3 linked regions of the Oryzias latipes genome follow. The protein of the gene in region 3 purifies or fractionates together with the protein of the main gene of each other region. This does not show direct contact. Links are inferred from orthologs where the notes say so. Each region holds a gene or a part of one and is shown on either strand. Other genes may lie near its edges.

What was found.
Region 1: the proteins of fbxw2 (region 3) and hsp90ab1 purify together in Homo sapiens (affinity purification with mass spectrometry; 3 studies listed by BioGRID and IntAct, with this or other methods). This does not show direct contact. The link is inferred for Oryzias latipes from reciprocal best matches to the Homo sapiens genes FBXW2 and HSP90AB1.
Region 2: the proteins of fbxw2 (region 3) and cul1 purify together in Homo sapiens (affinity purification with western blotting; 13 studies listed by BioGRID and IntAct, with this or other methods). This does not show direct contact. The link is inferred for Oryzias latipes from reciprocal best matches to the Homo sapiens genes FBXW2 and CUL1.

Annotation. Positions count from the first base shown.
Region 1 is NC_019882.2:5,881,798-5,885,550, forward strand, and holds the start of hsp90ab1 (heat shock protein HSP 90-beta), read left to right. Parts: upstream 1-1,547; coding exon 1,548-1,697; intron 1,698-1,778; coding exon 1,779-1,985; intron 1,986-2,088; coding exon 2,089-2,248; intron 2,249-2,336; coding exon 2,337-2,470; intron 2,471-2,551; coding exon 2,552-2,854; intron 2,855-2,924; coding exon 2,925-3,090; intron 3,091-3,170; coding exon 3,171-3,361; intron 3,362-3,550; coding exon 3,551-3,698; intron 3,699-3,753. UniProt on the Homo sapiens protein: Molecular chaperone that promotes the maturation, structural maintenance and proper regulation of specific target proteins involved for instance in cell cycle control and signal transduction. Undergoes a functional cycle linked to its ATPase activity.
Region 2 is NC_019878.2:3,231,655-3,235,307, reverse strand, and holds part of cul1 (cullin-1), read right to left. Parts: intron 1,322-3,653; 5' UTR 1,083-1,321; coding exon 940-1,082; intron 1-939. UniProt on the Homo sapiens protein: Core component of multiple cullin-RING-based SCF (SKP1-CUL1-F-box protein) E3 ubiquitin-protein ligase complexes, which mediate the ubiquitination of proteins involved in cell cycle progression, signal transduction and transcription.
Region 3 is NC_019870.2:24,496,697-24,500,449, reverse strand, and holds the start of fbxw2 (F-box/WD repeat-containing protein 2), read left to right. Parts: upstream 1-1,384; 5' UTR 1,385-1,640; intron 1,641-2,030; 5' UTR 2,031-2,085; intron 2,086-3,753. UniProt on the Homo sapiens protein: Substrate-recognition component of the SCF (SKP1-CUL1-F-box protein)-type E3 ubiquitin ligase complex.

The sequences.
Region 1 (3,753 bases), on a different chromosome or scaffold from region 3:
TGTGGCAACCAATAGAATGCGAAGTCAGCATGTGACAACTCGGTGACGTCATGTTTAGGCGGGTTTTTCATGGAAAGTGCTAGAAGAAACGAAGCACTCCCCTTCGGTATTCTTCCATGTGATTACAAAGACCTAGAGTGTTCGTTGATTCCGTAAAAAATACAGCGTGCTTTTAATTTTTGACATCCAGATATAGAGATTCTATACAAATACTTTTTTTTTTCAACAAAATTTTGACACATTTTTAGAATTTAGACAATTACTAAACGGAAGCTCGTAGATGTAGTTTTTGCTGTATCTTAAATAACCGCTAGATGGCAGCAAAAATCAAATACGATTGATTTTATTCTTAGTTTTGTTTTTAATATAATAAATTTATAACGTTTAGATTTTACCTCCTTGGCCAATCAAAATATTGTGCATGCTATTCCACTATAACTTTTTATCTGTTGATATAAATAATTACATATTTTTCTGGAGGAGCACAGTTAGTTCGAGAAGGAGCGCCGCGGAGGGATCTTGTCCTGCACTGAAACTCATGAGCATATAGATTCGGCGTGCAGCTCCAGAATCCTCCTTTCTTTTTCCTGCGTCAGTGAGCGGCAGGGATAGCACTTTTGTTGCATTTTATTCAAGAAAAGCCAACATAAGAAACAAGGTATGTCTTGGTAATTCACTTCATATTGAGGGAAACCAAACTTTAAATGGTTTATTATTATTCTACACCGAATGTTGAGTCATTTAACGGGTTTTTTTGTTATTTGATTTCGATTCACGTGGTTTGTTTAACCTTGATTCATCGATTAAAAGCATTTCTGACATAGCGGGTTTACTATTCTTAATTAGTAATGGGCTTTAGGTTAAATCTTGTACTAGTGACCGAAAATAAGTGGTGGGCTTTTGCCGCATCTTGTAGGCAGACAGAAGGTATGGAGATTTATTATTGTGAAGGTTGGTTGTACCTGACTGTTTAAAGAATAACATTACCATAGTTTAACGAGCGATTGACGTGTCTTTGTGTATATTTTGCCAACGAAGGATTCTAGATGGACTACTAGTTTAGAATCTTACACCCAGAGTGTGTACATCATGTACATCTTGCATAACCGACACAGGAGTGCTCGTGGTTTTTCGGGGTGATGGTAGTTTTGGGGGCTATTTTTTTGCAGTAAAGCTCCTGAGCGATAATCCAAAATCGTTCGATCTTGATATTCACGGAAGCTTCGGGTTTTTTCGGTTTTAGTCGGCACGTGCTTGCAGCGTCCATTGTCCATGCCTCGCCGCCATGTTTCGCTGCACTTCCGCCCGTATGTTGTAATCTGATGGCAGGGATCCGACTCTGAACCGGTTTCTGAATTGTGGTAGTTTATGGTTTAAAATTATTCATTAAAAAAAATTAAACTAAAAACTACAATCTTAGTAAAATAATTGGCAGTTTATTACCGTATTTTGCGTATTTGTAAGATGTTGTGCTTTTATTTTGGCGTTTCCTGTTGGTTCATCCCATTATTAGTCTGACGCTGTTTGTTGCAAACCTGTTATTTCTTATGCAGATGCCTGAAGAAATGCACCAAGAGGAGGAGGCTGAGACCTTTGCCTTCCAGGCAGAGATTGCTCAGCTGATGTCCCTGATCATCAACACCTTTTATTCCAACAAAGAGATCTTCCTCAGGGAGCTGATCTCCAATGCCTCTGATGTAAGTCTGCAGCAGTTTACGTAACATCGTATCACCTCTGTGTCAATACAGTGAAATATCTTGACGCTGAATTATTTTTAGGCTCTGGACAAAATCCGCTATGAAAGCTTAACTGATCCCTCCAAGCTGGACAGCGGCAAGGATCTGAAAATCGACATCATCCCCAACAAGGCTGACCGCACCTTGACCATTGTTGACACTGGAATTGGCATGACCAAGGCTGACCTTATCAACAACCTGGGTACCATTGCAAAGTCTGGGACAAAGGCTTTCATGGAAGCCCTTCAGGTATTAATATAAACAGGCATAAAGGGGAAAAATACATATACACATTTATATATTTTTTTAGCAGAAGTGAATACAAATTGTGGAACTTTGCCGTTTTCTTCAGGCTGGAGCCGACATCTCCATGATTGGTCAGTTCGGTGTGGGATTTTACTCTGCCTACCTCGTCGCTGAGAGGGTGGTGGTTATCACCAAGCACAACGACGATGAACAGTACGCCTGGGAGTCCTCTGCTGGGGGATCCTTTACCGTCAAGGTCGACAGTGGTATGGATCTTCAAATATTATAATTATGGTGCAACAAACTAAAATCTGACTGTGAAACATTTGTTAACCTCTACAACACTGTTCTCAGGCGAGCCCATTGGCCGTGGAACAAAGATCATCCTGCACCTTAAAGAAGACCAAACGGAGTACATTGAGGAGAAGAGGGTCAAAGAGATCGTGAAGAAGCATTCTCAGTTCATCGGCTACCCCATCACCCTCTTTGTAAGTGATTTGTTTGTTTTTTTACAAACATATTTCTCACTAATAGAAGCTTATGTGGAGTTGTACGTGGTTTATCTATAGGTGGAGAAAGAACGTGACAAGGAGATCAGTGATGATGAGGCAGAGGAGGAAAAAGAAGAGAAGGAGACCAAGGAGGAAGGTGAGGACAAGCCAAAGATTGAGGATGTGGGCTCAGATGATGAAGAAGACGCTAAAGACAAGGGCAAGAAGAAGAAGAAGATCAAGGAGAAGTACATTGACCAGGAAGAGCTGAATAAGACCAAGCCCATCTGGACCAGAAACCCTGATGACATCACGAGTGAGGAGTACGGCGAGTTCTACAAGAGCCTCACAAACGACTGGGAGGATCACCTCGCTGTGAAGGTAAAATAGAGGTTTGGGTGTCTTCTGATCGGCTGATGGAACCTCGTGCTGACGTGTGTTTCTCTTTTAGCACTTTTCAGTGGAAGGTCAGCTGGAATTCAGGGCTCTGCTCTTTGTTCCTCGTCGTGCACCTTTTGACCTCTTTGAGAACAAGAAGAAGAAGAACAACATCAAGCTGTACGTCAGGAGAGTCTTCATCATGGACAACTGTGAAGAGCTCATCCCAGAGTACCTGAGTAAGTTTTAAATCTCTGTTCCACCGGATCTGAAAGGAAATGCACAGCAGCTTTAAAACGTTTTTGTTTGTTTACAACAGACTTCATCCGTGGAGTGGTGGACTCTGAAGACCTGCCCCTCAACATTTCAAGAGAAATGCTGCAGCAGAGCAAGATCTTGAAAGTAATCCGCAAAAACATTGTCAAGAAGTGCCTGGAGCTGTTCGGAGAGCTGGCAGAAGACAAAGAAAACTACAAGAAATTCTATGAAGGTTTCTCAAAGAACATCAAGGTATCTCAAACATATCTGAAGCTTTTCTAAATGATGCCTATAAACTGATGGATTTTTTTTTTCCTGTAAACTTTTAAGGTGTGAAAATAAATCGACACATATTTAGCGTGAAGCCTTGGAATTGGGCAACGCTTGCTGCATTACCCAGAATTTAGTTGAGTAAATCGATCACAACTTTTATGTTCACAGCTCGGCATCCATGAGGATTCTCAGAACCGTAAGAAGCTGTCTGAGCTGCTGCGCTACCACAGCTCCCAGTCTGGAGATGAAATGACTTCCCTCACAGAGTACCTTTCTCGCATGAAGGAGAACCAGAAATCCATTTACTACATCACTGGTAGGTTTGGCTTCCAGTCCATATGTTCTTTTGTTGATTCTTTTGGCACGACTTA
Region 2 (3,653 bases), on a different chromosome or scaffold from region 3:
CAAGGTGGGAATCGAACCTGCAACCTTACGATCATGGTCTACCGCTGCACCATGGCCGCCCGCCCGCAATCATCTATTTTCTGCACATCAAATATGGAGAAAAATGGAGCTTCTAAAGACCCACTCCAATAATAATTGTGTTTTTGGCGTTCTTAACATGTTCTTGTAGCGTTTTTTCTCATGATGGAGGACATATTTAAAGAGTTTAAGATTAAACTGTGTTTCTGTCCATTTCTTTATTGAAATCGTGATGATCAGGAGCAGATAAAAAAAGCTTTAAAAAAGCTTAGAGTTGTGACATATCAACTGAAATGGGCGAGCCAAAGTCTCCCTGCTCTGCTCCATTCTGCAGCATTCACTTGCAGACAGATGTTATCATGAACGTCTTTGTTCTCATCTGAGCTGGAATCCAGATCTAAGCTGTACGGCTGGATAGCTTCAATATTGCAGCCATTTTTGTTGCTACGCTAATGCTAGCGGGGTTTTAAGAGGCGGTAAGCTAGTGGGAAAGTGTAAATAAAGGAATGATGGGATACCAGCGTGGAGTCTCTCTGCACCAACAGCCACGCCCACAACTCAGAGGGGATTTTTATAATGAACTCTTGCGGCTCTACAGACTCTATGTCTTAAAACGACACAGGTTTTTGATGTAGGCTAAAAAGGGCATAATCATAATTGAAAGACCACTAGGAACACTTTTGCAACAGATTAAGATGTAGTTGGAGTGGGACTTTAAAGCAAAACTTGACTAAGTTTTCTTCTACTAAAACAGGCAAATTACGGTTTGAAAAAGTGACGATTACTGCATGAAAACAGATCCTGGATTTTGGTGTTCATAGAAACTTGCTGATACTAACATCTCTAGAGTTGAAGCTGGTAAGAAAACCACCAGCTTTCCCCAATAAACCCAAATGCAGACCCCACTAAATCCCAGGATACGTGTAGAGTTCCATGTAGCGTGACTTGGGCATGCTTTGCCGCGTGTACACCTTCTGGATGCCAGCACGCAGGTCGTCCCATATCTGGTCCAGGCCTATCTGTTTCAGTCCGTGTGGGTTCTGGGTCCTGTTTGTAGACATCATAAAGCCCCTGTCCTTTCCTTTCCCAACCAATGCCCTCCTTTTCCTGCTCCAGTGAGCGTTATGCCCCCCCAGCCGGTTTTAGTCCTGAATCCTTGGATCCTCAGAGTTTGCAGTCCATCTGGCAGCAGCAGCAGAGCTTCAGGAAGCTGGTTGTCAGTGCTCTGATGGGATGCAGTCCCTTGCTGCACGCCCAGGTGGCGCTGTCTGCCCTCCTCCCTTTGCACACTTCACCAGATGACCTACGAAGGAAAGAAATGCTTGAATTACTTTGGACACACAACTTAAAGCAGATTTTATTCAGAACCAATTCACATCACAGAATCAAAAAGCACCGACGATGTTTCAGATTTCCTTCTACGGTATTGACTTAAGTCATTAGTGCAGCAGCTGATGTGTATTTACCTGCCGAAACCTGGCTCTGAGCCCTGCAGGCCAACAGCGACCTGACGTCAGTCAGTTAAAGACAGATTAGTCCACTTCTGCGTCTCCCCGACTTCCTCAAAACCATTGCCCACACTAACCAGCATAACCCACTGTTTACATCCCAGTGTAGTTACAGCACAGTAACACCAGCAGGTTAGCTGTACCAGCTCAAGGAAAATGTGTTCAAACCCCATCTATAACATGGAGGGGGGGGGGGGCACTAATTCTGAAAAACCAGAAGTGACCCATAACGGGCGGCTGACCAATCAAACGGACCAAACCCTTCATTTCTGCCACCAAACACTTGGGTGGTTCTCAGGGCACATGATGACTGCAAAAGCATGAAAGGTGTGGTTCACAGTGGCACTGATGACAGCCACATTTAATGATATCCTAAAGCTTTAATTTAGTGTTGACAGGATATAGGGAGTCCAGAATAAATGCCATCAGCATCTGTCACAGAGATGGTGGGACTAAAACACCTAGAAGACGGACAGCAGTCTCACAGGGGGAAAAAAAAGAGCAAAAACTGGGAAAGCGCAAACAAAAAAAGTGACAAACTACCGGTACATTAGTTAAAAGCCAAGTTCCATGATCGGGGTTTGGGCTGAGGTACCCGCCCAAACCACATTACACCAGCTCCCCTTTAATCTATCCTGCAGGTGGTGGGCCCACACGGGAGTGATGCCACTTTGTCTCTACAGGATGAACCCCACTGCGACCAGTTGGAAGAGCCCCGGCCACCAAGCGCACGCCTGCAAGCCCCAACTCTAGGCCTGGCCCCAGGGTGAGGCCCTGGTGACCCCAATCCTGGCGTCATAACCTCTCTTGATGCTTAGTACTTATGAAGGAGGTTCTGAATTGCTCTTTGTCTTGGCCTGTCTGCCCACCAGGGGTATAAGCCCCAGACATCTTAGATCGTGGGATCACTCAAGCTCTCAAAGCCCATCACCACGCTAAGGTAGTGGTTCATTGATCGAGAGTAGCAAGTTGAGGTGGCTTGGGGATCTGGTCCGTATGCCTCCTGGGTGCCTCCCTGGGGAGGTGTTCCGGGCATGTCCCACTGGGGGAGACTATGGGGAAGACCAGGGACACGCTGGAGAGACGTCATCTCTCAGCTGACCTGAGAACGTCTCGGAGAGGATCAGGAGGAAAGTGGCCTGAGGGAGTAAAGTCTGGGCATCTTTGCTTAGCCTGCTGCCCCTGTGACCCGGTCCCGAATGAGCAGAAAAGGATGGATGGCTGGACAATGATTTAAAGAAAAAAACTTGCAGCAGCCACACTTTGAAAGTTTTGTGAAACAGATTTTTTGTCCTTCATTCAAAACATAACAATTGCCACTTAACATTCCCACAATATAAATAAGCAACTGCATAGGAAGGAAGTCATTTCTTTGCATCTGTCTATGATGCCAGATCAAAACATCAACATGTCTGTTTGTAAAGCAGCAGTGAGGATGTCTATGCGTGTTAACACTCCAATCTCATCATTTCCTTAAACATAAAAAGACAAAGCTATTGCTTCACTACAGCTGATCATAATTGGCGTTAATAACCTGCATGTGTGGCATCAGGAGAAATGTATTATTCACCCACAAGTGAACATATTCATAGATGTAAGTTCAGTTATTTATTAATTAGGGTGAGACCTTCTGCATGGATCAGAAAGCCTCTTAATATTTAGTAAAAACATCAAATATAAGAAAATAAGAGCGTTCATGCTGTTGAGATCACTGTATATTTTGTTTGTATGAAAGCAGGTCAATGAGACGTTCAGTCAAGAAGATGAGGAACTATAATGGAGATATTTACAGGACAAGGCTTCAAAAATATGAGAAAACATCAGTGAAATGTAACTGTGTGGATGAGAGCATTGAACCTCACTATGTTGATGTTTGCGTTCACAATTATTGGTGCTGAAAACTCAGTAACCTTGAAATGTTGCTGTGTGAAAGCAGCCTAACAGTGTGCAGAAGGCAGGTGGATGAGTAAAACTGCTGTGTACATGTAGGCAGCGTTGCTATATTTGGAAGTACCAGGAGGCAATGCCGGTCTCTGGCCATTCCCAGCCATTAGGGCTGGAGACTCGGGACATGTGACACAAATGGAGGAGGGGGGAGGTTGCAGGAGCTGCTGCCTTCAGTTCCTA
Region 3 (3,753 bases):
ACTTTTTTTGTTTGTTTTTTTGTTTTAATGTTTAATATTGTTTTCAATTTTTACTAAAGTCCTGTCCAATACAGGTAAGAAAAGCTTTTTGTGCAATCCATCTTGAAGGGACCCTGAGCCTATAGGCTCACAATTCAAAGAAGGACAATATTCTAATGGGCCCTTGATTCCTGGAGAATTGCAATGAAAGTCGGCCTCAATGAATCAATTTGAACTAACCTGTAATTGTAAAAACATTAAATAAATTATGTTACCGTTCATCCATTTTCAGAACTCGCTAAATTGGGGTAATAGTAGTGAGTTGCTGGAGCCTATCCCAACTACTGTTGGGGGAAGGAGGTTATCCTAGACAGGTCAGAATGTTTGATTTATTCCTTTTTAATATTTCATTTCTGCAAAGAATCAAATTAGTGCTATAAATTTCCTGAAGATCTAAAGAATTTTTGCATTGGTCAAACCTTTTTAGATTATTTAACAGTTGTTTGCTGCTTTGCTTTCATTGCAATAAATACAAAGAAGCCAATCAAGTGAAGGGTCTTGCCTTAGGCGCCTAACCAAGTCTGGGTCCCTCTGTGCCTGTCCCCAACCTGGGTTAAAATCTCTGCCAAACCCCCTGAGCAAATCAGTGAAAGCTGATGGTGACCCCTTAATGGATATGCTGAAAAGTGAACAAACAAACTTAAAATGTTAAGAGTAAAATTGTTTTGAGTTTTCCGATATAGAGACATAGAAATATTCAAAAAAGCTATCACATCCAACAGAGAGGGGGAAAAAACAGAACAGATTATGAGTAAGCAGTAAATGGAGAAAATTACTTTTAATGAATAACCTGCAGAAATAAATGTGTGCATTCTTTTTTGTGATTCTTAATGTGAAGTTTTGGTTGTAGCCCTTTGTATTTCCCTAGGTTCCAGTTCCTATATTTGACAAATGTAAAGAGAAAGAATAATTTTAGGCGTTTTTACTGCTGACCTTGAATATTTTGAGTTGATCTTGTATATAAATAAACAGTAAAAGTATACCCGTGTTATAGAATAAAAAGCACACATTAGTAAATCGGCGCCAGATTGGAAAATTTCACATGTTTCACTACGTGCCATATTTAACGTTACACAGGAAGCGAGTCGACTTTGGCTAAAACCTTACCCGTTTTTTTGTCTTACAGTCAAGTGGGTATCATTATAATAATAGAAAACATAGAGTCGGACAAACTGCCAAATTAAACAAATAAGTTTGTACAGTGCATATCAGTAATGTTGAACAAAATACTATTTTTAAAGCACTTAAAGCAGAAGCGACAGCGCCTGTAAGACATGACTGTGGTTCAACATTACCCGCAGACAGTAGAATCCGTTTCCATTATCTTCTGGTATTCATGCTGTCAGAAACTGACAACCTTCTTTAGCCCAGCGTTTACCAGCCGCTATAATTGAAAGGGGAATGTTAGATTTATAGCATTTACATCAGATTGAAGGCAATTGAGTGCACCAGTTAAGTTGGTTCGCTGGTAAAAGCTACACCGCCACGTTGTTGTTACATGGTGGTAGAAATAAGTTCCGACAGGTTAGCTTTGCGGTGGCTATTCCGCTATTTACTACATAACCATGACGTTGGGGAAAGGATATATCCGCTACTTACTGGTTCGTGTCAATTTAAATGTGAATGGTTTTGTGTTTTTATTGACTGGTGTATACAACCTTTTTTGCTTGGTTTGATGTTCCGAATCTAAGATGATGCATGCTTTGGGTTAGCATAGACGGCACGAGTAACAGGTCCGTCAAGCCCTGCTAAATGTGTTTTTCTATGGTGCTTACATTTATAAGCTACATGTACTAAGAAATACTTGCAAGTGTCGTCTAAGATAAGTCCGTGAGGAGACTACAATGCTGAGGGTATTTTAAGCGCGCGCGCACCTAGGGTGTGTATGCGCGCGCCACAGTACAACTTAAAAGCCTTTTTTGTCCTATCAATGTATTCATCTTGAAATCTTGTGTTCAAGGTAACAAAGCATGTTTTCCTATCTCTGACAGGACTGCGGACGTCAGCCTACGGCGTGTGACTGAGAGCCGGCGGGGTTGCAGACAGGTAAAACGGATTTAATATCGTCTGATGGTGTCCGCAAGATGTGTGACTGTCACGCCTAGTTCCAACAAATACGTCTGATATCTTCGCCACGCATTAACGATCAGGCGCCCTAGTGTCCGTCGCGAGGAACTGCTGCGTTTCTGTGGGCGGTAAACCGGTGCTTTGAAGCCAGCTGTTCTTCAGTCTACCGAATTGTGGGCGCGAGACCAAAAGAAATGACGACAGAATCCAGCAGGAGCCGTCCAAAAAGATTTTTTAAAGGCTGGTGTAACTGTCATTTATGTCAAATAATTATCATTATATTCCAGGTTGTGCTTTTCCTTAAATATATATTTGTTTTCTTTCTGTTTTTGCTTCGTCCTACACACCTAGAATATTTGGTAAAAGTATAACTTTTCCAGAATAGTAGAGGACTAACGGCACAAGACGACCTCTTGTTTAGTCCAGTCATCGATTTAGGCAATTGCACAAAATTGACTTGTTTATGAAAGTAATTCTAGGGTTCAAAGTGTGGTAGTTAGCACTCTCAAATCAAAGTGAGAAGCCCCGGTTCGAATCCCAGCTGGGTTCTATCAGAGTTTGCATCCTCTTCTCATGTATGCGTGAGTTTTCTCCAGCTTCCTCCCACAGTCCAAAAAGACGTTCCTCAGGTATTCACACCTGAGGGAGGTGAGTGTATGTGATGTTTGTTTCTGTCCCCCTGCAACAGACTAGCTACCTGTCCCGGGTGGATCCCGCTTTTGCCTCAGCGACCCCGTGACCCCAAACAGGTTCAGAGAATGTAATCATCCCCAGTGGTCTTTTGATTATGATTTATGGGAGACTTTTGTCCGGCCATTTCAGTTGCTGCGTCACAAAAGAGAATCTTTTTCAAACAGCATTTTTTCATCCGCTCATGATTTATCCAGATTTAAATAAAGAAATACTCAGAAACACAGTTTTAATCTTAAATTCTTTTATATATATGTCTTCCATCAAGAGGAAACTTCCATAAGAACATGTGAAAAATGCCAAAAACAGAATTTTCATTGGAGTGAGTCTTTAATATCAAAGAACAGTTCTGAACAACCCCTAATTCATTTGTCTCAACCTCAAGCACTCACAACTTGAAATGTGTGAAGTTAAATTTGATCTAAGGCTTTGTCTGAATTCCCTCACCCCTCCTTAACTACTAAAAGACTATATAGTTCAGACTATGTTGTGCCCTGGATTTTAAAAGTAATTTGGACCCCTTTTTCCCCCCAATGCCATTATGACATCACCCATTTGAAGTACGATCTAATACATATGAACATTTTACAAAATCTATTTATGAGTCCACTATGTTCTGATGATGGAAACTTGGATGATTCATAAAAAAATTAATTTATCACATTTTTTCAAATGACAAATCGTTAAAAAACACAATGCATTGTGGTCTATAGTTCCCAATCTAGGGAGCATCGATGGGCACTAGTTTTTTGCAGAGACTTATCGGACATTTGCAGGGCACTGTCTTTTGGAATTGTAGATTCAGACACCTCAACAAAATGGCAAACACACTTTTCTCTTAAGATGTTTTTGAAACTGATTTTGTTGAATTCTTTTCTCCAAATTTTTTACAACTTTGTTTAGCCGGCTTACGTGGAGATCTTACAAGCTGTTCTTGTGGCTGGTGCTGTTTCACGA